Linked DNA regions of Kluyveromyces lactis. The protein of the gene in region 1 interacts with the protein of each later gene in a biochemical or structural test. Links are inferred from orthologs where the notes say so. Each region holds a gene or a part of one and is shown in the gene's direction. Other genes may lie near its edges. The genes, in order: UFD4 and MGT1.

Region 1 (12,314 bases):
CGCCAATATATATGTGAAGAAAGAAAACTTTTATTTAAAGTATATACCCTTCAATCCTGTAAGGTTATCTTGTTATTATTACAGAAATGAGAGGGAAATATAGTTCCGTTTGTTGTAGTAATTGCTGTTATTATATACAAGTTTACTTTTTTCCTGAATGGTCTATTTATTAACATGTCTTTCATGTCTCATTGTATTCTAATGCGGTAAGAAGGTCTCTAAACTGATGCACGATTCAAACGAGTTTGTACACCTCTTTCACCAGCCTTAGCTAAGATGCTGGTTAATAAACTTACAGAACGTAGAGAATCATCATTAGCTGGAATAGGATATGTCACCAACGATGGTTCAGAATCGGTATCGATAATACCAATTGTTGGGACTCTTGCCTTCATTGCCTCTTTCAAAGCGTTTCTATTTTCAGTAGGGTTCAAAACAACTAATAAATCTGGTTTAATAATGCTCATAGATTCGTTAAGAGTCAATTCTCTACCGGTTGGGTTACCGAAATAATCCACTTCGTGTCTTTCCCAACTACTTGAAATTTCAGTAGGATTGGTCAAAGTACCTGGTACCCACTTAGATGCCACATAATAACCGTTTACTCTTTCAGCTGCCTTAATTAAAGTTCTCTTTTGACCCTCTCTGGTCCCAAGGAAAAGAATCAAACCACCATTTTCAGCAACACCTTCTACGACCTGTGCAGCTCTCTTCAAATGCGAAAGTGTTTGATTCAAATCAATGATATGAATGCCCTTGTATTCACCGTAAATATATGGTTGTGTAGAAGCTCTCCATAGAGCAGTGGATTGGCCCAAATGTACACCAGCGGCCATTAGCTTTTCAATGGATACTTGCTGTAAAGATGGCGGGTTGAAAACGTCCTTGTGTGGGAAATACACGTCTTGTATATTAGCACCTAATTTGGATGTATGAGCGGCATGTTTTAATTGACGTACATATAATTCTTGTTCCGAATAAGGCTTTTCTTTACTGGTGTGCGACAAATATGGGAACTCTCTAGTATGTAATGGTTGGGACAAAACTTTTGAACTAAAGTCGAACTTGTTGGTATCCTCTGGTAGATCTAAAACTTTGTTATATTTCGAGTACTTCCTCAAAAATGCAGTCAATTTCTCATCCAATTGTTGTTCTTTCTCAGTCAATGGCGACTTCAACTTGGTTTCCAGATCTCCTAACTCTTCTATTGGTGTGTTCATTGCCTGATGTAAAAGCTGAGATATACTCCCGTTAAATTCCGATTGACGAGCCGCTGCTACATCCACAGATTGTAATTCTTCACCATTCTCGCCTTTTATAGCATTGGACTCATCGCTGGAACTAGCCTTTGATGAAGAACTTTGCAGTCTCACTGCACCTGATCTTAAGGCAAATGGCGCCCTCCCCACCAAATTTTTGGTGCAGTATCTAACAGACATTCCGGACAAATGATACAGTTCTCACTATAAGGTGAAGGTAACACTCAAAATGTCGACTAAATCACTTCCTTTACCTTTTACCTTCTTCAAATCATCGTAATTTAATATACCAAACGCTACGATAACCAACTGTCCAATTCACCAATTCAATAAAATTTTCCAGATCATTGTATACGAGTTGATACTTTGATATATTCTCAGTAATTAAATATCACGTGTTTTATGTGGTCTAAGTATCAACATTTCAAACCGTCAAGGCTATTACGCATCTGAAACAATTAATGTACCGGCTTACAAGCGTGAAATTAATTTATTAGGATAAGGTATTTCCTAGTAGGATAGCATTGGTTAAGATTATTTTTCATCCTTATAAACCGATGGAAGATGTACTGCGTGATGTATTGGACCGTAACAAGAAAGTTCTAGTTATAGCAGTTGGCGTTAAGGCTCGAAGTTTCTTCGAGCAAGATCTACGGGAAAACAAGACGCATTTCTTTAACAGTATTGATGATATAGTCAGGGGACGATCCAACGTGCGGATTCTGTTCCTTGATAAATTACAGTATTTATATATGTACTTGACATATGTCGAGATTGAGCTCCAGAATAAAGGAAACACATCGATGTGCTATGAAGAAATTATCATCTACGGTTTAGAGTCCCTGTTAATGACGAAAGAACAATTGGAATCAGAAGAGACACAGAAAACTCTTGATCTGTCAATCTCCCAGCTGCGACATTGTAACCTCATCCTTCATGGATCGCTTCGACTGGAAAATCAGTACGCTGTGCGTATCAGAATGGTGTCAGCGACAGATCTGGGAATGATGTCTCAAGGTTGGAAGAATCTGACCGAATATTGGCAGTACGTGTATTCGATAAAGGATTCCTAGAGAAGAGATTAATGTACAAAGGAGAAATATATAGGTTATGATTATATATATATATTTATAGTTTATCACTGCAATGCTTTCTTATTTTTGGATTTATTTCGAATCCATGTTGATATTGATCTGTTCCACACTAGAAGTTTCGTTATCGTAGTATGCGGCAACCTTCACCCTGAATTCAGCAGCTGCTATACCAAATTGTTTCAAGATCAATGCTTGAGTAACATCTAGAGTTTTGCCCTTTTCACAGACCAAGTATGGAGATTCGATGGTAATCTTACCATTCTTAATTTTGGTTGGAATCTTGAACTTGTTTCTTAGAGTTGGTTCCAGAGAATGTATCATAGGCACATCTTCTTCTTCTGGGATTTGACCACCACGAGAGTATACAATACCGGCTGGAATGGTAAAAGACAATGGAGCCTTTGATTTTGGTCTGGAGAAATCAGCTCTCACATATGCCTTGAAGTAATCTTCCACTACATCGACAGGTTCGTTGGTAAATAATAGACCAGTAACACCAGAACAGTGCTTACATAGTTTGGCCAAGTTCTCCTTGTACTCTTCCTCTGGCTTTTCACCTAACGCTTTCACCAACACCTTCCTCTTACCCATGATTAACTTGGATCCAACCCAAGAACTTCTAATCTCTTGCAAAACTGGAGTTCTCACATCTTCCAAATGTAAAACCCAAGCGTATCTGAAAGAATCCAAGGCTTCTCTAACTTCATCGAATATCCTTTCCTTGTTCTCTCTACCCTTCTTATCGGTTTGGGCCAATGTAACCAACTTTGAACGCTTAGATCTTGGCATCGTATCTGGGTTGGTATATGTAGTAGCTTGATGATAAAGAGTAACGAAAAGTAAACAATTATCAGAACACTATTCAATTACAGAAGAGAGATAAATAAAGAGGAATACAACTGATAGAATATAGCGATTAGTACTGTTGATCAGTTTAAACTATGAAAGGTCCATCGAGTAGATGCGATGAGATGAGCTTTCTCAAACTGAAAAATTTGCGCCTTTCTTTTTCTTTCTAGTTGTGAGTCACGTGATTTGATTTTTCCAAACGGAAAGTAACGACCTCTGACACAAAGTGAATCGGTAAGACATATACCGGCTCTTTTGCAATGCTCTAGGGCCATTCTCATAAGCTCGGTTAGAGAGGTTTATTCTAAGGAACTGCAAAACCAAACTCCGGTATGAATTCCCTTGACTGATTTCTGAGTCTCTCACTCATTGCCAATGAGACAATAGATCTCAATTCAACACAAATATCAAGACTAGAAAGGCACAGATAGGGCATGATCGTGTATCGGGCAAGTAGATATAGTGGTAATGATTTAACCTATTACCGGAGATGTATTGTAAATGGGGAAGTAAACTTAGTCACGTGACTCATTACTTGTGGCGACGGGTATTGTGTATATTTTCCTCAGATAAAACCGCAGTGTACCGGACCAAAATGTACCTTAAAAGTTCAGAGTCAGGAAATTGCAATCTCAGTACATATTTAGCAGGAAACAAACTAGTTGGTTTGATATGAACAGCCGGCGAGTTAAACATACCTCTTGTATTGCTTGCCAAAGTCTAACAACCTCTAAGATACCAATTATTAAGGTGGTAAGAGATACCGGGTTGTGAACTAGAAATTTTAGATAGTAATTTTGCCTCTTATTTGTGATTTGAAACAGGAAAGGGTTTTGAAAAGATGAGTTATTACGATGGCGATGGCGACTATATCATATATGAAGATGCGAACGGTAGCCATGAAAGTGATGATGTTGAATCTGGCGAATATTCTTATCCAGAGGATGAAGATGATTTAGAGTTTGTCCATCACGATGATGATGATGATGAAGACGAAGACGGGGAAGAAGATGGATCGCAAGGAGAGCAGTTGGACGAAGATCAAGATGAAGATCAAGACGATGAGGAAGTAGAAGGTGAGATAGGGAATGTTTATCATGAAAGCCGTTCTGGGGACCGTGCGGACAGGATTTCGTTTCTACAAGATATTGTTTCTCGTCTAGCGGATCAAAGATCTGGTGAAAGTGGGGATGGTGATGTTGCTGAAGGCGAGGAAGCTGATTCGGAGCGTGCATTTGGACGTTCATTGCCAGATCTGTTGCAAGAACTAGGAAGGTCTGAAGGGTTTTTCGGTGTTAGCAGAGGAAATTCTCGGTATTTGAAATTGATTGAGAATGTGCTTCAAGCTGAAGACGATCCGTATATTGCTATGGAATCTCTCCGGGAATTATCTGAACAGCTATTGATGTTAAACCCTTTGATCGCTGATCGAATCATCCCATCTGGCAAGTTAATGGACGCTTTGATCCATGTATTGTCTAGCCCATTATTACAAGCAGAGTTGGAGTTACAATTAATTGCTTGTAGGTGTCTCTATAACTACTATGAGATGAACCCAGAAATGATAGAGGTTTCGGTTAATAGAGATATTATTGAGATATTGAGAGGGAAATTGAATGAGATAAGCTATATCGATTTGGCAGAACAAGTTTTGGAGTGTTTAGAGTTCATTTCAAGGGTACATGGATCTAAGATTTTAAGAAGCGGTACCCTTCTCTCTTGTTTGCAATATTTGGATTTCTTTACCGTCCATGCGCAGAAAAAATCATTATCTATCGTTGCGAACTCATGTGCTAGGGCTAAGGAAAGTGACTTCGAGGTGGTATCAGAGATTTTCCCCATCTTGAAATCTATCTTCCTAAATAGTACAAATCCAGTAATTTTGAAGCCAGTTCTCATAACACTTTACAGCATTTCAGGATCTTTGAACAAGAAATCATTATCTAAACTCTTTGACTTCGAGTTGGTTAAAAGGTTATTGTCGTTGTTATCTTCTTCAGAGATTGAACGTGAATCTGTTTTGAAAGTCTTGGATATTTCATCACTCTTGGTCTCCACCAATGTTGAATTGTCAAAACAAATCCTATTGGATTGTGAGTTGAACAAAGTTATTCAAAACGTTTTCCAGTCTTATAAGAAATCAGCATCTTCCACCTTCAGTGAAACTTTGATTTATGTTCCTAAAGAGCTTTTGTTGTCGGTAACAACTTTCCTCTTACTTTTGCTCCCAACTGAAGATTCTCAAATCTTGACAGCCGATGAGGTCAAAGTTTTCACATTTGACGGAAATGAGGATAAATTCCTTGAACTAGTCAATGAGTTGATTCCTTGTTTGGTGGAAATATATTCCAATACAGTGGATACTAAGATTAGATATACAGTTCTTGTTGCATTGGCTAGGGTGTTCACGTCTATACCTCATGGCTACGATATTCCTAGTTCGTCCGTTATTAACATAATATCCTCTGGTCTCATCAATGGTTCAAATGCGCAACAAGATCATATGAAGACTGAGACCAGTGCAGTACTAGTAGCACTGCTTTCGTTAATTTCTATCATGATGTCTAATAATCCGGATTTGTATCTACCGAAACTAAGAAAAGAAGGTATACCAGATGCTTTAACCTCTTTGAATTCTCACTACAGTTATGAGCTCAGCAAGAAAGATAGTATTGATAAACAGGAATCGTCATCAGATGAAGCCGAGAAGTCAGGATATCATATACGTCCGGAAAACTCTGATTCTCATCCTGTTTTTGGATCTGATTCTGACATTGAAGATGAAGATGATGATGAAGAAAAAGACAGTTACAGGATGGAGTACGACGACATGAACATACCTGAATTTGTCAAACCGAGAAAAATCCGCATTAATATCTACGATCATTTGACTCCTTATTACCTAATAAAACATGTTTCCATGTTTAGTGCTACACTACTAGAGTTGTTTTCATCTAACCAAGAAGAAGTCTCCAGCGAGCTTTCTGAAATTAATGCTGTTGTCACTAAGATGAAGGAACTGGATGTTCAATCTGATTCCGAACAATATTGGATGGATTTCTGGACTGCTGTAAAATCCTCATTATTTGATGATATGTCCAACATATCTGGCTTCGAGCTCATTTCCACTGGTCTCATTGATTCTATGGCTAATATCTTTGAAACTGATTCAACGAAACAATCATTCTCCAAGAGGACTTTTCTGAAAGTGTTCGAGGAAAAATTGCCTGAATTTGTGAAGCTACTACAAAATGCATTGTCTAGGACGGAAACCTTTGCCATCCTAGATGCTGGTGCCAGTAGCAACGATTCTCCAAGTGCCTCGTTAATCAAACAGATGAAAATAAGATTAGTTCATGAGCCGGCCGATGATGAAGTGGGAAAAGATACTGTTCCAGAAACTCTTCAAGATGTTGTAATTGCCGTGCATTGCGTTGCATCTTTGAAAACACTTGATGAATTCTTGAAACACAAGATTGTGCAATCGGAATTTTTGACTTCTATCATTCCGAGCATGAGTCGTGCTAATCAACAAGCCAACCCTACAAATGTTGCCAAAGAACTTGAAAACATACAATTTGACTTTTCGTTGAATGACCATCTTTTAGATCAATCGTCAACTATTTACTCTATTATATTCAAAGAGGCGATGAAAGAAGGGTTACCCACAACGAGTATCTGGACTAACGTACCTACTTTTAAGTTCAAGAAATCAGTAAAAAGAAGGGAGTCACATCAATTGCATGTGCTTTACCCCGATACAGCTTTTGAAGGGGCGGATTTGAAGCCTGTCAATGGTATTTTGACAGTTCTACAATGTTGCCAACATAAATCACTCCCAGCATCTATTTATGTGAATCCAAAGATTAGTGCTAAGCTTTCCCGTCAACTTGAAGAGCCACTTATTGTGGCATGTGGGGTCTTACCAAGTTGGGTCCTCGATATCACGAGAAAATATGGATTTTTGTTTCCATTTGAAACTAGAATGAACTTCTTACAGAATACATCATATGGATATGGCAGATTGATCCAATACTGGAGGGAAAAGCTGGCAGATCAGCACCATAGTAACCCTACTGAAAATCCATTGCATCAATTAGGCAGGTTGACTAGACACAAGTTGAGGGTTTCAAGAGACTCACTATTTTTGTCCGGCATCAAAATTCTAAAAAAGTATGGTTCTTCGCCAAACGTATTGGAGATCGAATACAAAGATGAAGAAGGTACAGGGTTAGGACCCACTCTCGAATTTTACTCTTTGATGTCGAAAGAATTTGCAAGGAAGTCTCTAAAAATGTGGAAGACCAATAGTGATACCAGTGATGATGAGGAGGAGTATGTGACAGGTGCATTGTTCCCTGGACCATTATTGGGCACCACCGAGGAGAATAACGAAAAGACTTTGAAATTATTCGAAAACTTGGGGACCTTAGTCGCTAGGTCAATGTTAGATAATAGGATTCTCGATTTTAGATTTAACGCTGTTTTCTTCGAGTTGATGCACAAATGCTGCAAGAATGATCGACTTGACCTAGAAGACTTCGAAACTTGTATCCACCTCGTAGGACAGTTTGATGTTCAACTAGGAAAATCACTCGCATTTTTGTATGATAATCGTCATGATGACTCTATCAAAAACCTTGACCTATATTTCATGCTGCCTGGTTATGATATAGAATTGTTGGAAGGTGGTTCGAAAATCTTAGTTGAATCTTTCAACGTGGAAGAGTACTTGATTCGTGTCTTTGACCAATTTTTGGGCAAAGGCGTAGATATGCAGCTCGCTGCCTTCAGGAACGGATTTTCGAAATCATTCCCTTATTCATCATTGCTAATCTTAACTCCGACAGAACTATCCGATTTGTTTGGTGCAGTTGCTGAAGATTGGTCTGTGCAAACGCTATACTCATCCATTCATGCAGACCATGGCTACTCGATGGATTCTCCAATCATAACAGACCTCATAGATATTTTGTCGAATTTTTCGACACAACAGAAACGTTTGTTCTTACAATTCATCACTGGCTCTCCGAAACTACCTCTTGGCGGTTTCAAAAACTTAAAACCCAAATTCACAGTAGTCCTGAAGCACCCAGATGGGAACATCTCGGCAGACCATTGCCTACCTAGCGTTATGACATGCGCCAATTACTTGAAACTACCAAAATACTCTGATAAACTGGTACTCAAAGATCGTATTGCACAAGCAATGACTGAAGGTTCCGGAGCCTTCCTATTGTCATAGAATATGTATATAACTACATAGAGATGTCTGTAGATCTAACCATACTCCACCCTAACTAAAGATTTCAATACCACATACTTTCGTGACATGTGACAGGATTTACTCTTTGGGATTGGCGAAAATGTTGAAACTGAAATTTAAAGCTTAAGAGTTTAAACAAACGGAATGTAAAGATCAGATGGTATGCATGTTTATAAGCAGATTAGAGAAACGAGCAAGCTCAATTGTTGCTTTAACTGTGGCTTGTGTTAGAACTAGGTTTTAAATTTTATTAATCAGGCTATCTCTGCCGATTTGACAAGTATTTCAGAGAGTAATACCAGGTAATACCATCTTCTTTTGGATCTTTTTAATAACAAGCACACATTATTTGTTTGTTTTGGCGAGAGTGTGATTTTAGCAATCAAAAGACGTTCGTTACACTGAATTACACAACAGGCTCTCGTTTTTAAGTTAGAAGGAGGTGAAGGTAGAAAGAATTTTACAGAGCACGTTTTGTCATTTCTTTCATTGTTTATCTGACTTGATCTTCTATTCTTTGAACAAAGTAATCTAGCTTTTTTTCTGACAGAAATTAACACGGCCACAGCAGGCTTTGTTACTGACGGTTGTATGCTCTAGAAATCATTACAGACCTGTTTGTGTTTTTCGGAATACCTTTCCTTTTTGTTCGGTCGATAGAATTAACCACAAGACATCTTTTGACACAGGCCTTTTTTTTTTGATAGAAGCTACTACACTCACTACTTTGTCTCCATATAATGACGGATACTGGATATACTGAAGAATTGTTACCAGGCACATTTGATGCGCTTTCCGTGAGAGAAAATGGTGGCAATACAGAAAGTGACACCAGTAGCATACGCAAAAGTCAAAATCAAGATTCAAAACAAGAGGATGTACATCGTGAAAATCTTTCAGTACAAACTCTAGAGGATCATACAGAAGTAACGGAGACTAGGGAACAATCTGTCTCAAAAGATCTCTTTGATTTACCTCGTGCACCAGCGAGTTTGGATGTGAAAGGATTACAAGAATCAGACGAAGATCATTACGTCAAAGACCTTTCAGATTATAAATCTATGGATCCAGGGAAACCGGGCACCGTACCAACAAATGTTTCGGAAATTTTTAATAGTAACCAGCCAACTTTGGATGAACCGATACAATTTACAAGAGTCTCTTCCAGTTCTGTGTTAAGTGAAAGTATATCGGAAGGTGATGCAGATTTAATATCGCATCTAGAAGGAAAAGTGGAAGAAGGAAATAATTTGACTTCGAAGGAGACGCCAGGGACAATTGAATCTATTGTTGGAGATAAGACGATGTCAACTATAGAAGGTTCCTCCCAAAATATAGGTAGAATATCTACTGGCGGGAGGATGACACCTGATCTCTCTCTTATGGGCGGGGCCCTGGAAACTTCTTCTGACTTCCTAAATTCCACACAAACCTCAAATTCTCCAAAGATTACAACACCTATAACTGAAGTTGATGCCAATGATGTATATGAGTCCCCGCTAAATGAGATATTATCATCTACAGATAGTTTCAACAAGGCATCGACAGCGTCTGCAGATCATTCGAAACACGTAAGTGTGCATGAAGTAATACCTGAAGAAGAACCACATCCAGAAACAACAAATGAGGATCCTCCAATTAAAACTCCCGTAATGGTGAATAACTTTTTCGAAAATCAAACACCAGTATCAGAATCAAGATCCCCCTTCAGAACCATTTCTTCTCCGTTTTCTTCTCTGAGGAAAAACGTTAAGAGTCAGCATGGGACGCCTGACCACTCCCAGAGGAATTCTAATTCCTCCACCTCCTCTAATGATGTTAAGAGGAAGACCGGTACTAAGAAGAAAGGTGTTTTCTCAACATTCGTTCAAAACATCAAGAGGAACTCACACTCAGAGAAAAGAATTTCTAGCGGAAGCGGTAATGGAAGTGGAAATAATGCATTTAAGATCTCTACTCCTTATAATGCTAAGCATGTTTATCATGTAGGTGTTGACTCCAAAACAGGGGAATATACAGGGTTACCAAATGAATGGGAGAAACTTTTAACTTCCAGTGGCATTAGTATGAAAGAACAACAGCAACATCCCCAGGCTGTGATGGATATTGTAAAATTCTACCAAGATGTTACTGAAAACTCTGGAGAAGAGAAAGTCTTCAAGACTTTCAAAGTAGGAGGTGGCTCTGGTGCAAACATTGCATCTACACCTTCTTTCAGAACCCCATCAACTGCATCAGTACAGAAGTTCGAAACTCCGCAAATGCAAACAGATGCAACTTTTCCGAATGAAAACAATGATACCCCATACTCTAGTAACTTACAGGGTCCGCTGCTCACTAACGATTTCAGTGAAACTGTGAACAACGAAAAGTTCATACCGACTCGGCCTGCTCCAAAACCTCAAGGTTCCTCCACAGTTAGCCGTAGGGTCGAAATCCCTTCACCAATCAATTCGCTTGGCCATGGAACACCAAAAGTGCAAAGAAGTGATACTCAGTCATCAAGCATTTTCTCATTCAAGAAGATGCCAACATTGAAAAGTGAGCAACCATTACCTCCTATTCCAAAGGCTGCAGAAAAACCAGCAAATTTATTGCCTGCAAGAGCGGCTCCTACTCCACCAAAACCTGCAATTCCTACAACACCGGAACAATCCTCAATACCTGCAATTCCTTCCGGGCTTGCTGTGGAAGTGAAAGAGGAATCGAATACTTCTAATGTCCAGACAAGAAAGGCCCAGGAAAAAAAGAGGGAAGAGAGGAAAAGAAAGAATCAACAAATTCAATCAAAATTAACCGAGATTTGCACAACAGGAGACCCAAGCAAACTGTACAAGAATCTGATCAAAATCGGACAAGGTGCATCAGGAGGAGTTTACACAGCGTATGAATTGGGCACAAATGCTTCAGTAGCAATAAAACAGATGAATTTGGAGAAACAACCCAAGAAAGAGTTAATTGTGAATGAAATTCTGGTCATGAAAGGAAGCAAACACAACAACATTGTTAATTTCATTGATTCATACCTATTTAGAGGTGATTTATGGGTTGTCATGGAATACATGGAAGGTGGTTCGTTGACTGATGTCGTTACGCACTGTATATTGACTGAAGGGCAAATCGGTGCCGTCTCTAGAGAAACACTCAAGGGTTTACAGTTTTTGCATTCAAAGGGAGTCATTCATAGAGATATTAAATCAGACAATATTTTGCTATCCATGAACGGAGACATCAAACTAACAGATTTCGGTTTTTGTGCTCAGATTAACGAGGTAAATTTGAAGAGAACGACGATGGTTGGTACTCCGTACTGGATGGCCCCAGAAGTCGTATCAAGAAAAGAATATGGACCAAAGGTTGATATTTGGTCTCTTGGTATTATGATCATTGAAATGATAGAAGGTGAACCACCATATCTGAATGAGACACCACTAAGAGCTCTATATTTGATCGCTACCAATGGTACGCCAAAGCTAAAGGATCCTGGAAATTTAAGTCATAAAATGGCTATGTTCTTAAATTGGTGTTTAATGGTTGATCCAGAGGACAGAGGAACCGCAGCAGATCTTCTTGAAGATCCATTTATCACTGAAATTGCGGAAGAGAACACCTCCCTTGCACCGTTGGTTAAACTGGCAAGGATGAAGAAACTAGCAGAAAGTATGGAAGATGATGAAAACGATGAAGACAAATACGATGAACAATCATAATCATTTCTGTTTTACGGCATTACATGAATTTAAAACTTTATTTTTTCTATATAGAATAGTTGTGTTATTAATATTTCATTCACATTAGGTAGATGTGAGACTCATATCGCTCGAAGATTTATTAGAAGACATCTCC
Region 2 (12,960 bases), on another chromosome or scaffold:
AATTTCCGTCGTGACATATAGGGAGAGTGGAATCAATGTATTATACATAATGATGAAAGACATTATAGTAGGGGCCGTTCCTGCGTCCTCTTGAAATAAATACCATGCTCTATTATTGTCAACGTAATTCTTCTTAAGGATATGTTGACCCAAATAAGAAAACATAGCCATTGCTGCCACAACAAACACCATAAATAAAACGATTAGATTGATCTTGCCCTGTAACTTCGGAGCTTTTGTTCTTGGGTTTTTAATAGCGTTCATCCTAATTTTAGTTTCTTCACCGGTGAAAATGACTATCCCAACAATACTTTGGGTATTCCTTAAGATACTTCCACGATAAACAACGTTATCAGACCCTAGAGGATAGAGTTCGCCATCAATTTCCACAGTCCCTTCAAAATTGTACAAATCATTGTTAGGGTCTTCCAATGTAGTTGTGGCACTATGCATGCTCAAGCCAGTTGCTGAAGTCATACGCTTGGCTAATTCTGGTAAAGGGTTTTTACTTTTTAGGTTTGTTTCACCATCTAATGCCATTGTCTCGACAAAAGCCTCATTATTTTCACCGTCAGTACTCAACAAAAGAATATCTGCTGGAACCCAGTCATCTGAATTCAAGAGTACAAACTCTCCAACTTTCAAATCTTTCCATTCTTTCTTTTTTATGTGAATATCGAACTGTGAGCGAAGGAGGTTGAGATTGGTAAAATGGTCTGTATAAGATGGTTCTGTCACGTCATTTAAGTTATGCATAGAATTAAAATCACTTAAAATTGCGTCCGTGGATCTTGCAGATACGTTTGATAATGAATATATGGAATCCGACTCAAGTTCATCGTGGTCCTTACCCATAGTAAGTACTTTGGTAGATTTATTATTTTCTTCCTTGTCCAATCTGTGTCTCTTAAAATCATCCCAGGCTTCTCTTGCCATCGATATGCTTAGAAAAATCGACAACGGTACAATGGTAGTGTACGTACCAGTTGTAGACCACGATGGGATCATCTGCAAAATAGCAACTAACAAAAAGTACGCATTTGCCAATTTCGAAAATTGCGCGTATAATTGCCTTGGCAAGAACGAATATACGGTATATCGGGACGACGTTATGACATTATCGCGGTATGGTCTATCAGTCCTCTCATCGATAAGAAGATTCGAGCGGGCATACTGTTGATATAACACCGAGTTCTTATCCAAACATATCGGTATAACTCTACCGCTCTCCGAGCTTAGATGTGTTGTCCGATTTAAAATCAGATCCATTATCTTTGTTCTCAGACTAAGCTTTTTCCGTTTCTTTGTCTGATTACTTGGAAGATTCTCTGTACTGTACGAAGAGGCCGGCAAGCTGTCACCATCGTTCGCTATTTCCATTTCAATTTCTTCAGATTCCGACCTCAACTTATCACTGAGCTTCTTGTTGAACAACTGGGTTCGAAGCGAATAGCCCCTGGATCGGCCAGTCATCTGAGATATCCTATATACAATCCAATCCCTTTCACTAGATTCAGTGCTTGTTAGGGCTATCTGTACTGCCTTTCAAATGATCAAACTTGTCAATCTTTTGTTCTAAAGCCTTAAATGATAATAAATCTCACAATATTGAAGAAATCAAATAGTGAATTAAGGCAAATCACAACATAGAAAAGCCTCTAAAGGTGACACAATGCACAAAAGATCTTGAAGAGTGTAGAACTGGTTTACCAGATCTGGCTGTAGATTAACTCCGGAACTTCGTTAATACCAAGGAATAAGTCAATACAGAAAATCAATTCAATGGCCGCATCCAATTGCCCTGGTTCTGTGCGTTTTGCCTAATTAACTATTACGTGGAAATTCCGTTTGTTTACAAATCGTCGCACGTGACATAATATTATCGAGCCTTATGGTGTTTCACTCAAAGCGGTTTTCGATCTATAAATAAGATCATGTAGATGAATCTGAAGAAAAAGGAAATGCAGATACACTTGATATAAGCCAGTAGGTGTTTAAACTGATTATTTGTCAGTGAGCAGATCAATCGTCGGTATAGTTTAGATATTTTTTTTCATTCTGTTGCGATGACTGACTTGAAACAACAGTACGAATCAAAAGGTCAATCACATTTGTTTGCCCACTGGGACACCTTGGCACAAAACGAAAGGGAGCATTTTCTGAACCAATTGAGTAAGTTTGACTCTAAAAAATTGTCTGAAGATTGCCAGAAGGCAATTGCATTGGCAGACGAAAATTCAAGCTCTGAAAATGTCATCAGACCGTTACCAGCATCATCGTACGAATCGGTGATTGGAGATGACGATTTGAGGAATACGTACCAACAATTGGGATTAAATGCTATCAAGAATGGCGAGGTTGCTGTTATTTTAATGGCTGGTGGTCAAGGTACGAGATTGGGATCTTCCGCACCAAAGGGATGCTACAATATCGGCTTACCTTCTGGAAAATCATTATTCCAGATCCAAGCTGAAAGATTAAAAAGACTACAAACTCTTGCTGGCTGTACGAAACCGATACAATGGTACATCATGACATCAGGACCCACAAGAGCCGCTACTGAATCTTTCTTCAAGGAGCATAACTTTTTTGGCCTCTCAGAATCTCAGATCCACTTCTTTAACCAAGGCACGTTACCAGCTCTTGATATTTCTGGAGAAAAGTTATTCTTGAGCGACAAAGATGAACTTGTGGAATCACCTGATGGTAATGGTGGCCTATACCGTGCTATCAAAACTAATAATTTATTAAATGACTTCAATTCCCGCGGCATCAAGCACATACACATGTATTGCGTCGACAATGTCCTTGTTAAAATTGCAGATCCAGTTTTCATCGGCTATGCTATCAAGAATGACTTCCAACTTGCTACGAAAGCTGTGAGAAAACGTGATGCTCATGAATCTGTTGGTATAATAGCCACCAAAAATGATAAGCCATGTGTCATAGAATACTCAGAAATTTCAAAACCTCTAGCAGAAGCTGTTGATGAGGACACAGGGCTACTAACTTTACGTGCTGCCAATATTGTCAACCATTACTATTCAGTAGATCTATTGAACACGAAATTGGACAATTGGGTAGAATCTATGCCATATCATATAGCCAAAAAGAAAATTTCGTACTACGATAATGTCAATGACAAATATGTGAAACCATCAGAACCTAACGGTATAAAGTTAGAACAGTTTATTTTTGACGTTTTCCCCTCCATTCCTATGTCTAGGTTTGGTTGTTTGGAAGTCGAAAGAGCAGAAGAATTCTCTCCACTAAAAAACGCTCCTGGAACTGCAAATGATAATCCTGAAACTGCTAGGGATGCTTACCTTCATTTAACTACATCTTGGTTGAAAGATGTAGGAGCACTAGTCAATGATGAAATTCTTGTCGAAGTTTCAAGTCTATTGTCTTACGGCGGGGAAAACCTTGACTCTTATAAAGGCACTGTGTTCGATAAGCAAGGCGAAATTTTGAACTAACCAGGCAGTGTTTATAATATATTCGAAACGATAATGCTGGTGGTTTAAGTTTATTATATATACTAAAATAATACATACTTTTATCATTCAAGTGATATCAATATTGGATGTAGGTCAATCACTTCTTCTGTTTAAAAATTGTTTTAGTTCGAAAAGTACTGGTATACTCTCTTCGGAATTGAAAAGACCTTTGCAATCTATCTGGGGCCTGCCCTTCTTCTGATTTTCTATTTTCCGATTCATCAGCTCAAAACTTTTCTGTTTTCTCAAGTTTTCTCTACTTTTCTTATTTTCAATTGACAGATTCAGTATTCGTTGGTTTAATTCGTGCCTTAACTGGTCGTCTGTAAAACGAGAAAACTTAGAGTCGTTGCTAGAAGCTGTTTCTTGATCATTTTCAGTACCGTACACCAATTCCTCATGTTCTTTTTCAATGTCTGACCCAGTTTCATCTACTTCTAACACGTCTACTAGCGAAGTGAGTTTCGGAAATGAATCAACTACCACGGGGATATCACTGGTCGTCTTTACGATATCAAGATTGAGTCCACCGCTGAAAACTCTCTGACTGGAAGGCCGAGGAGAACATTTCGGTGGTTTCAACTGTTCATGCGAGTTATGTTTATAGTCGATATTCCATATTTGTATTATTCCATTCAACTCATCTATCAGGTGAGAAGAGAGTTCGGTAGATGTTTTGTCCTGTTTCATCAAGTATCGCTGCAATTCAGACAAGCGATAGATACTTTGGGTTATTACAGCTTCCTTTGATTCGGGATCCTCTTTTTCAATAGTACTTCCGTACACGGATAAAAGTAAATGTTTGTAATGATGCAAAACGGGCAACAATGATGAGATACCTTGTGTTAATGTGTATAATTGTTTCGAGATTATTTGAAATCGCTCTATGTCGGAAGTCTTTTCCACATGGTATCCAGGAAAAATTCTCTTCAAGACTAATGCAATCTCACACTTTTTCAGTGGATCAGTGTAGTTTATTGAAAGTAAGCAGCACAGAAAGAACTTTCTCATATATTGCAATCTCTCCAACTTTTGTGTAATGTCCAGACTTTCCACTGTTCGGATCATTTGATATAGGCTTTGCAAATCCACATTGTAAATACTGATATAATCAGTTAACTGAACTGCATTCACAACCGGCAAAATGTTACTAGATGCAATGTTCAATTTGTGAAATAACTGGTCTACTGTACATGTAAGGACATCTGTTAGTAATGTCAGTGTTCTGGCTTCATCTGAACGTAGACCACGATTTTCAGTCAATGCGATTGGTTTGTAAATAGTCAGCTCTTTATAAGTCAGGTGATAACGATAGATTAATTTGTCTACAGATTGCAATGCAGCATTCATCTGTCGTAGATTTAAAAGGGCAGTGTATTTGGAATATTTTGCATGGAAGTACTCTTGCTGTAAAGCTAGATAAACAGCAATCATCAATAAGGACATCAGAGAGGATCTAGGTAGATGTCTCTTATAAAGCATTTTACGGAAAGCTTTTCTTGCCGTCAATATGGTGAACATGTATGGAATTGTTCTCTGTAAATAGAATTTTTTTCCAGAAATTAACAATTGTCCATATTTTGTAGGTATAGTCTTTCCTTCAGCGTTGTGAATCGATAGGGTGTTTTCCTTATTGAAGTTCAGGATTGATTTCTGAACAGTAAATAACTGGTGATGAGAAGCGATCGAGCTTGTTAACAGTTGCGAGGAAATGATTTCATAGTGAAATTCATCAACAAAGGCATCCAGGTCACCATAAGGTAGCTGCTTCATGATCAAATCTACTTGTTTACTCCATCGGCTATCTTCTTCATGTGAGTTCAGAAAATCAGTTCTGTAATCGTTATCAATCAGAATCTCCTGTGATTCAAAGCGATCTTGGCCTACAACAGTCGGCGAAGTGTCCTTCAAAGCCTCAATACCCCACTCACTAAGCTTGCGCAACTGCTGGTAACTGATCGGAACTTGTGGGCGTGAACTGCTCCAAGTCTGTGACGAAGACATCGTTGATGGAGTCGATGCTGCAGATGCCATTTTGGGAATTTCAATCCTAGGGATTTGCAGATGCAAAGGCACCGCTTGGAAAATGTCCATTGTTTTCACTCAAAATGAGAGGATATTCAACCTGTTGGATTGATGGATGAGCCGCTTGACAAGCCTCGAAGTTTTGTGCTACATTGTCCAATGTATTGAGAGTGAGATGTCATTTATATGTAGATCAAGTTACGCTTTTTTTTTATTTTTTTTGTTTGTTTACGTTTACAAAGAAAGTAGTATCCGACAAAATTGATCGTGGAACAAATTGGCAGGAAGACATTATCAAGAGTCGAGATTAAGGCAACAGAACGAAAGAGAGTGTCAATGAAGTCATCAATGAAAACGAATCAGATAGTTTAATGTTACATATTAATTACGGGAAAGGTATATACTCTAGGTACTAAAGAAAGGGAAAAAATTTAGGTCGTCGCCATGCGGTAAATTACATTGGTCAAAAACCAGATGTCATTTGATTTCGATTTTGACTAGTATTACGGATATGAGAGGGAGCTAACATGTAAAACATACATATTACTGCTTCCGCCCTCCCATGAATTCATTACCCAAGCCTGACATATCAAACTGACCAAAATTCAATTTGTTATTTGAACCACCAGAGAATGTATTGAAATCTTGATTGTTAGTAACATCTATTTTTGAGAGAGGTTCTGATTTTTTATTATTGTCTAAAGGCTGAGAAGATGCTTGTGGACCCATAGTGGCTGGCATAGCATATGAATCAAAACTTTGAGGCTGTTGTGTTTGGAGTGACATGGCAAAATGATCTTTGTTCATTGGTTGGTCTTGCTGTTGTGATTTTACCATGTTCTCATAAGCTCTCTGTTGTTGTAGATATTGCTGGGACGGACTTGAATTATCTGATGGATCCCCTTGTCCTGGAAGTATGTTTTGGTTACCCAACTGATGATGCTGTTGATTTTGTTGATTTTGTTGGTGTTGCATTAAAGTCATCATTTTTTGATATTGCATTCGAATTTGCTGTTGCTGTTGCTGGTGCTGTTGCTGTTGCTGGTGCTGTTGCTGTTGCTGGTGCTGTTGCTGTTGCTGATGCTGTTGCTGTTGCTGTTGCTGTTGCTGTTGCTGTTGCTGTTGCTGTTGCTGTTGCTGTTGCTGTTGCTGTTGCTTCTGCTGTAGTTTGGTCCAGTTAGCTTGAACTTGTTGTGATCCGGACGGGCTTGGTTTCTTCACCTTTGACGAGGAATTAACACCTTTGAACTGCTTTGATTCCCCATTAGCTCGTGGTTTAGTATTGGCGCCAGAATCTTTATTAGTTGCTGAACTCTTCTTGGTTTGTTTATTTTTGCTTCCGACCGAAGTATTCTGAGGTTTTGGAGTAGATTTAGAACTTCCCAAGGTCGCTGCATGATAGGGATTCACACCAAGTCCAGCGTTTGTACCAGCATTCGGAGTGGTTCCTAGAACGGGTTGAAATGAGCCCTGTGGCTGTGGTACTCTCACTCCTGCTGGGAAGGAATTCGCGTTGGTTGCATAAGGAGTGTTTCCACTACCGGGTGAAGTCATTGTTCTGAAATGCTGCTGCTGCTGCTGCTGCTGCTGCAGTTGTTGTTGTTGTTGTTGTTGTTGTTGCTGTTGTTGTTGAGGGACAATGTTGCCGGCGAAGCCCATTGCTGGAGCAATAGGGCCAGTTCGCACGACACGAGACAACATTTCCTGAGGTGGAACTTGTGGCAATATTGGAACAATTCTATCATTAAATGGTTTCAAACTGGTTAAATTTTCAATTGGTGTTGTTTCAACGTACTGGTTCAACGCCCAAAGTGATTGCCACCATTCGAACAAAAAAGTATCCGGAGAATTCATTAACATTTTTGAGTTTAATAATTTATCACCGTTTAGCGAGTGTTGTGGCACGGCTTTTGACAGTGGTACATTTGCCTCTTGTAAAAACTTTTTTGCAGTATCGTGGTGTTGGTTATGCACTAGGTAGTTATAAATATGAGCATATAATAATTGCTTGGAGTTTTTCGCCATAGCATCGGAAACAAACGGTTCTACAACATCACCGCTATTGTATTGTTTATTTTTTTGATCCTGAATAGAATCGCCCTTCATCTTTTTGTCCTGTGGAGTGTTTGAAGCATTACTCTTCCTAGCACCTGGTCCAGCCATGTCCTTACAGACTTTCGATTGACAAAGTGAACGAAGCTGGTAACTTTCACTGAAATAGATTATAAAAACCCTTTTGTCCTCGATGAAAATTTAATACAACAATTAACAGTGAAAAGAACTTATCTTTCCCCGGAACTTTCAATAAATAAGCCCTGCGTAAACTGTGAATATGTTATACTTTACTAATCGGAACAGGTAGATCATGCACAGTGATAGAGAGAGGAAGAGAGGCGTATTGTTACCAATGTTATCGGTTTTGCTCGCTAGCCTAAAAACTGTTATTTCAACCAGATAAAACCCAACCACAGCTATTGACAACTTCAAAAAATCTGTAAGTTTATTCAAGTTTATATCAATGAATTAAATTAAGCGACCTTTAGCAAAAACTCAATTTACCAATACTCTCTATTTGACAACATACAATAAGGGACGATATCTAGACCAGGCAAACCATGTTAATCGATTAATTCATTTGTATTGGGCGGAGAATAATTGATTTTCAGTTACTTAAAGCGGAAATGAAAAAAAAAGATTGATCACGTGACACAAACCTTTATGTCCTTTGATAGGTACAGCTTGAACCCAAGAAAAAACTGCTGTATTGAAGGATTCTAAACAAAACAATGTACCACAAAAGTAGATGAAAGCTTAAGTCCATAATAGTTTATATACAGGAATAAGTATAGATGCAAAATGTGATACGGACTAGTATTTAATTATCATTTATTCATAAAACCAACGTCCGTTCGTCTACTTTTGAAATAAAAACAACACAGAATGAAAGACCCCTCTGTTTGTCTATTAGTTCGATTTTACTCCTCCGAGAGTTGAAAGAAGTTTCAATGCAACAGGGTTCTTGGCCATCACTGAATACGTATTTTTCCGGACATCTGCTGTCATCATTTGTTCTAACAATGGTATCTTATCCTCTGTAGGAATAATGACTCGAAGTTTTTTCTTTCCAGCCAGAACGCTATTTTTTCGAAGTAGTGAAACAACTTTTACTATGTGGTCGTTCTTACGTTGGACGTTAGACGCTATCAGTCCTTTCAAGACTCCTAAAACTGTATCTAAAGATACTGACGTCATTCCTTTGAAATAATTGTTGAACATGCTTTGGAAACGCCGACTACTGGGTTGATAGAGTACCGAAATATATTTCTCGAAAAGATCGTTGTTCCATTGGGAACTTTCAAAGACCATCTGCTCGTATATCCTTTCGTTACTGAAGTTATTCTGTTTCAAAAGGTTACGGCTGTTGTCATAATACCATAGCTGTAATAACCGTCTTTGTGAAATGTCATTGATCGACTGGTAAAATTCATAGAAGTCAGATTGGAATGCCATCTTGCTATCGCTTAACCTCTTGAAGACGTCTTGCAATTCTTCCGGGAAACTTTCAGGCTTCGGCACACTAAAATGTTGTGCCTTACTCAAATTCTTCAATAATGCTCCAAACTCGTGACGCCAACTCTTATAAAACGCCGCATTCTGTATATCATGGAGATCGTGTTCGTTCTGCGGTACGTTGTCTAAAAGCTTTTGCAACATCTTGTCATTAACCTCAACTCCCGTTTCCAACGATTTCTTATAGATATGGAACGAGTAAAATAAATAAAATATACCCATCTTTACCATGTATGAGTTGGCTGATTGTAGACCTTTCCCCTCGGGATTAGAATCCAAAAATGGATCTGAAATAGTCTCAATGTCGGCGGCAGCATTATTACTTTCTCCTATCACTTCTGACCTTCGTTGTTCCATAGCTTGCTTCTTTAGTTGACTGCTCTCTCTCCAGGAGACCTCAGAGCGGGGTCTCTTCGGTACCGCAAAATTTTGCTTATCATCGTAAACTGCATCAAGGCTATTCTCCACCCCAAATCCGTTTTCCAACGAATCTATTATAGTTGCTTGTCTTGACATCGTTGATACGGTAGAATATATCACCATCCCTGTTAACGTAACTACATTAGTCGTAACAAAAAACGCATTACCTGGTGCATTGAAATATTTCCAAAGCGTCTCTGAATACCTCTGTTGACCCTTTTGTAGACGTGGGGTACTTTGAAACATCTTGTTCTTCCATTGTAGCGTTATCCTCCGACTAGTATGAAACCTTCGTGCCATTGAACGAAAACAGCAACGAAGATGCATTTTAAATTGGAAAAACACCACTCTAAGCTTGACCCATCAACTTCGAAACAGAAACAATGAGGGAAAACTAATCTGTGTCGTATGTATTCTCCCTGATCAACCCTTTTCAAATTATTAATTCTCTTGTGTGTCTTGTTACCGGCTTCTTTCATGAATTCGCAGGGTCAGCTCATTTCCATATATCGTTTGATTTTAACTTAGTATTCAATTTTTAATTTCGCTGAAATTCTTTCTCCTTGGTGGTAAATAGTATGGAGATATATGGATGGAATCTGCGATGCGCTACAAATTTGACACATGATTTGACGAAATGAAAAGATTGTTGGGTTGAATGGCTGCACCCGTGAATAAAACGTAATCTAATAATCTCATCTTATTGTAGTAGGTGCTTCACCGGGAGTCACATCGATATGAATATGCTACAGTAGTTCGGATCTCTATAACTTATTTAAAAACGAGAGAGTATCACGTGATGTATATCATTTCTCACATCATATCTACATCTTGAAACTACAGCAAGACTGGCAGGCGTGCTAATGCTTACAATAGGAAACAGTGTGGTTCGCAGATAGGGGCGAAGGAATGTGTGGTGTATGCAACCTTAAGGAGGAAGAACTCCTTTTTCTCGAACGGTCAACCTCCGATGCTGTACATCCAGGTATATATAACTCCAATATCCCAAAAAAAAAAAGAATGGCTGCAACACGTCAGTAAAAGGGCAGGACAAGAGTAAAGAAAGCAAGCTTGGTGCACTTCACAAAGCACATTATGTCCCATTTATTAGTGTACGATTTCATGGAGCACGATCTAGCAAATGTGCTGATCGTGGTCAAACCTTCGACCAAAAGTCTTGTATTCGTTTCGCTGTCAGGAACGAAACCAAAACTATTAGGCGATGCTAAGAAATTTGTATCCAAAGTGAACTCCTTGTCAAAGAATAAAGGATCTATTTATACCTTAAAGAATAAATCCATCTTAAAATCAGACGATGTGGCATGGTTAGAACAGTTGAGCTTTGATTTTTTACAGATACTGGCTGGTGGTATTGACTCTCAAACGAACATCAAATGTGAGTATCTCCTTGGAACAGAATTTCAAAAAAAGGTTTGGGAGACTACAAAGACTATCAAGGCCGGTGCTACGATTTCTTATCAGCAATTAGCCGTTCTGCTAGGGAATCCAAAAGCTGTGAGAGCCATTGGTTCTGCTCTAGCGAAAAACAACATTGCTGTCGTGATTCCGTGCCATAGAATCATCGGTTCTAAGGGTAAACTGACAGGATTCAGATGGGGAATTGAACTAAAAGAATCACTACTAAGGCAGGAACAAGCAATTTAGTGGACTGATAGCTTTTGAATTTTTTTTTTCTTATTTGCAACCAACCGTGTTTGAAACGGCACACAAATCCCAAATGTGTTCAAGGATTACTTGACCCAGTCGTTACGGTTCTCTTCTGTGTGTGTTTCAATAAAATGTCTTTTTGTCTCTATTTCTTTTGTCTTTATTTGTCTTTCGAGAGGGTTGCGTCTGCAAGAAAAAATATGGAAATCCTGGAGAGTTGAATCATTATCGATCTGCGAGGAGTATGATAGTGGGGTGCAGCAGATATAATTAACATACTACTTATCGGATGGAGAGGGGGATCTTTTCAATAAAGACATTCAATTGTGCTGCACGGCTGATCTCACAACTTGGGACATTATACTGTGTGAGTTTTTTTTGTTCTTTTTGTTCTTTTAATTCTTCAACTTGCTTCGACGACATGAAGGGTTTGACTTTTACTTCTGCTGGTTTTTGTTTGCAGTACATTCTCTACAAACACGATTCTGTCTCGAAATAAACCATCCACTCGTAAATGTAAACCTTAAACTCTATCCCATGTTCTTGCCATAGAAAGCTAGTTTCTTACCGTTTCTTCTCTTACGGTATCTTTTGTTTCTGGTCAAGTATTAATTATTGCTGAGTAACTTTTTTTGGCAGAGTCACTGTACTATGTTGGGTATTTCTGTGAACTGAGTTTTCAATACCCTTTTTGTATGGCCTAGGCTTATTCTATTAATATTGGCGACATGATCTTCAAACGCGGTGGAAATTTGGTATCTGCTTTCAGTTATGCATGTTCAATCCAATACAATATACACTTATTCTGCTAAATTGCTTACTTGTAGTTGGTATGGTTTTTTTATATATATTGAGGCCTCAAAGCTTTTCTCAGCGATACACTGCCGTCATCACTTAAATCATATCATGTTTTCATTTTATCTTTCTTAGAATCTCAAAAAGTATGGATTGCTGTTCTCAAGCAAAGTACTAATTGCCAACATGTCCGAAGAGAAAAAGGTTGTTAATGTTCCTTCAAACTCTGAAAAAGAAAGCGCACTTGTCGAAGTTGAATCAAGATCAACTATTGATGAAATCGAAAATGTGTTTAATGGCAACAAACCAACAGAAGAAGTTCTGAAAGAAGTTGATGAATTGGTCTTGAAGTATGATCTTCAAGAATACCAAGAACTATTAAGTCGTGGTGCTTTATTGGCTAATGATCCTGATGTTTTGCTAACTGATAACTACTCCGAAAAGGAAAGAAAAAAGATCGGCAGGGAGTTAACACATCCATTTCTGTCTTTGTCAAGAGGTATGATTTGGGCTGCGTTATGTACCTCTTTGGCCGCCGTCAATTTCGGTATGGATGAAAGTGCTGTCGGTGGTGCTGTCTTGGGTTATCAAAAGGCGTTCAACATTACAAACCCTAACATCCAAGGTCTTACTTTAGCTGCGCCTTATTTGGCTGCTGGTGTCTTGACCTTACCACTGACTGTCTTATTGAACAAAAAATTTGGTAGAAGATTTATTGTTTTGATAAGTTGTTTTATCGGTGTGTCTGGTTCTCTGATCCAAGGCTTTTCGAACGGATTAGGTCTTATATTGTTCGCAAGATTATATTTAGGTATTGGTATGGGTTTATGTTCATCTACTGTCCCAATCTATACTGCAGAATGTGCACCAGCAGTTTCTAGAGGCGCAATTTTAATGTTGTGGCAGACTTTTATCGCTCTTGGTGTTTGTTTGGGTTCAGTTTTCAATAGAGCTTTTGTCGAAATCGAGGGGAACCTATCTT

What was found.
Region 2: the proteins of UFD4 (region 1) and MGT1 form a complex in vitro, tested with the Saccharomyces cerevisiae proteins (2 studies listed by BioGRID, with this or other methods). The link is inferred for Kluyveromyces lactis from reciprocal best matches to the Saccharomyces cerevisiae genes UFD4 and MGT1.

The regions. Positions count from the first base shown.
Region 1 is NC_006038.1:1,182,384-1,194,697, forward strand, and holds UFD4 (putative ubiquitin-protein ligase UFD4), read left to right. Parts: upstream 1-4,043; coding exon 4,044-8,447; downstream 8,448-12,314. Other genes in the region: MRP4 (mitochondrial 37S ribosomal protein uS2m), read right to left, coding at 219-1,439; SHU1 (Shu1p), read left to right, coding at 1,817-2,332; mRNA turnover protein MRT4, read right to left, coding at 2,426-3,142; mitogen-activated protein kinase kinase kinase kinase STE20, read left to right, coding at 9,209-12,178; MIF2 (Mif2p), read right to left, coding at 12,263-12,314. UniProt on the Saccharomyces cerevisiae protein: E3 ubiquitin-protein ligase which accepts ubiquitin from an E2 ubiquitin-conjugating enzyme in the form of a thioester and then directly transfers the ubiquitin to targeted substrates.
Region 2 is NC_006041.1:159,155-172,114, forward strand, and holds MGT1 (methylated-DNA--protein-cysteine methyltransferase), read left to right. Parts: upstream 1-10,610; coding exon 10,611-11,180; downstream 11,181-12,960. Other genes in the region: aminophospholipid-translocating P4-type ATPase DNF3, read right to left, coding at 1-1,473; QRI1 (UDP-N-acetylglucosamine diphosphorylase), read left to right, coding at 2,067-3,479; INP2 (Inp2p), read right to left, coding at 3,594-5,594; MSS11 (Mss11p), read right to left, coding at 6,069-7,688; PET494 (Pet494p), read right to left, coding at 8,490-9,842; KLLA0_E01783g (uncharacterized protein), read left to right, coding at 12,165-12,960. UniProt on the Saccharomyces cerevisiae protein: Involved in the cellular defense against the biological effects of O6-methylguanine (O6-MeG) and O4-methylthymine (O4-MeT) in DNA. Repairs the methylated nucleobase in DNA by stoichiometrically transferring the methyl group to a cysteine residue in the enzyme.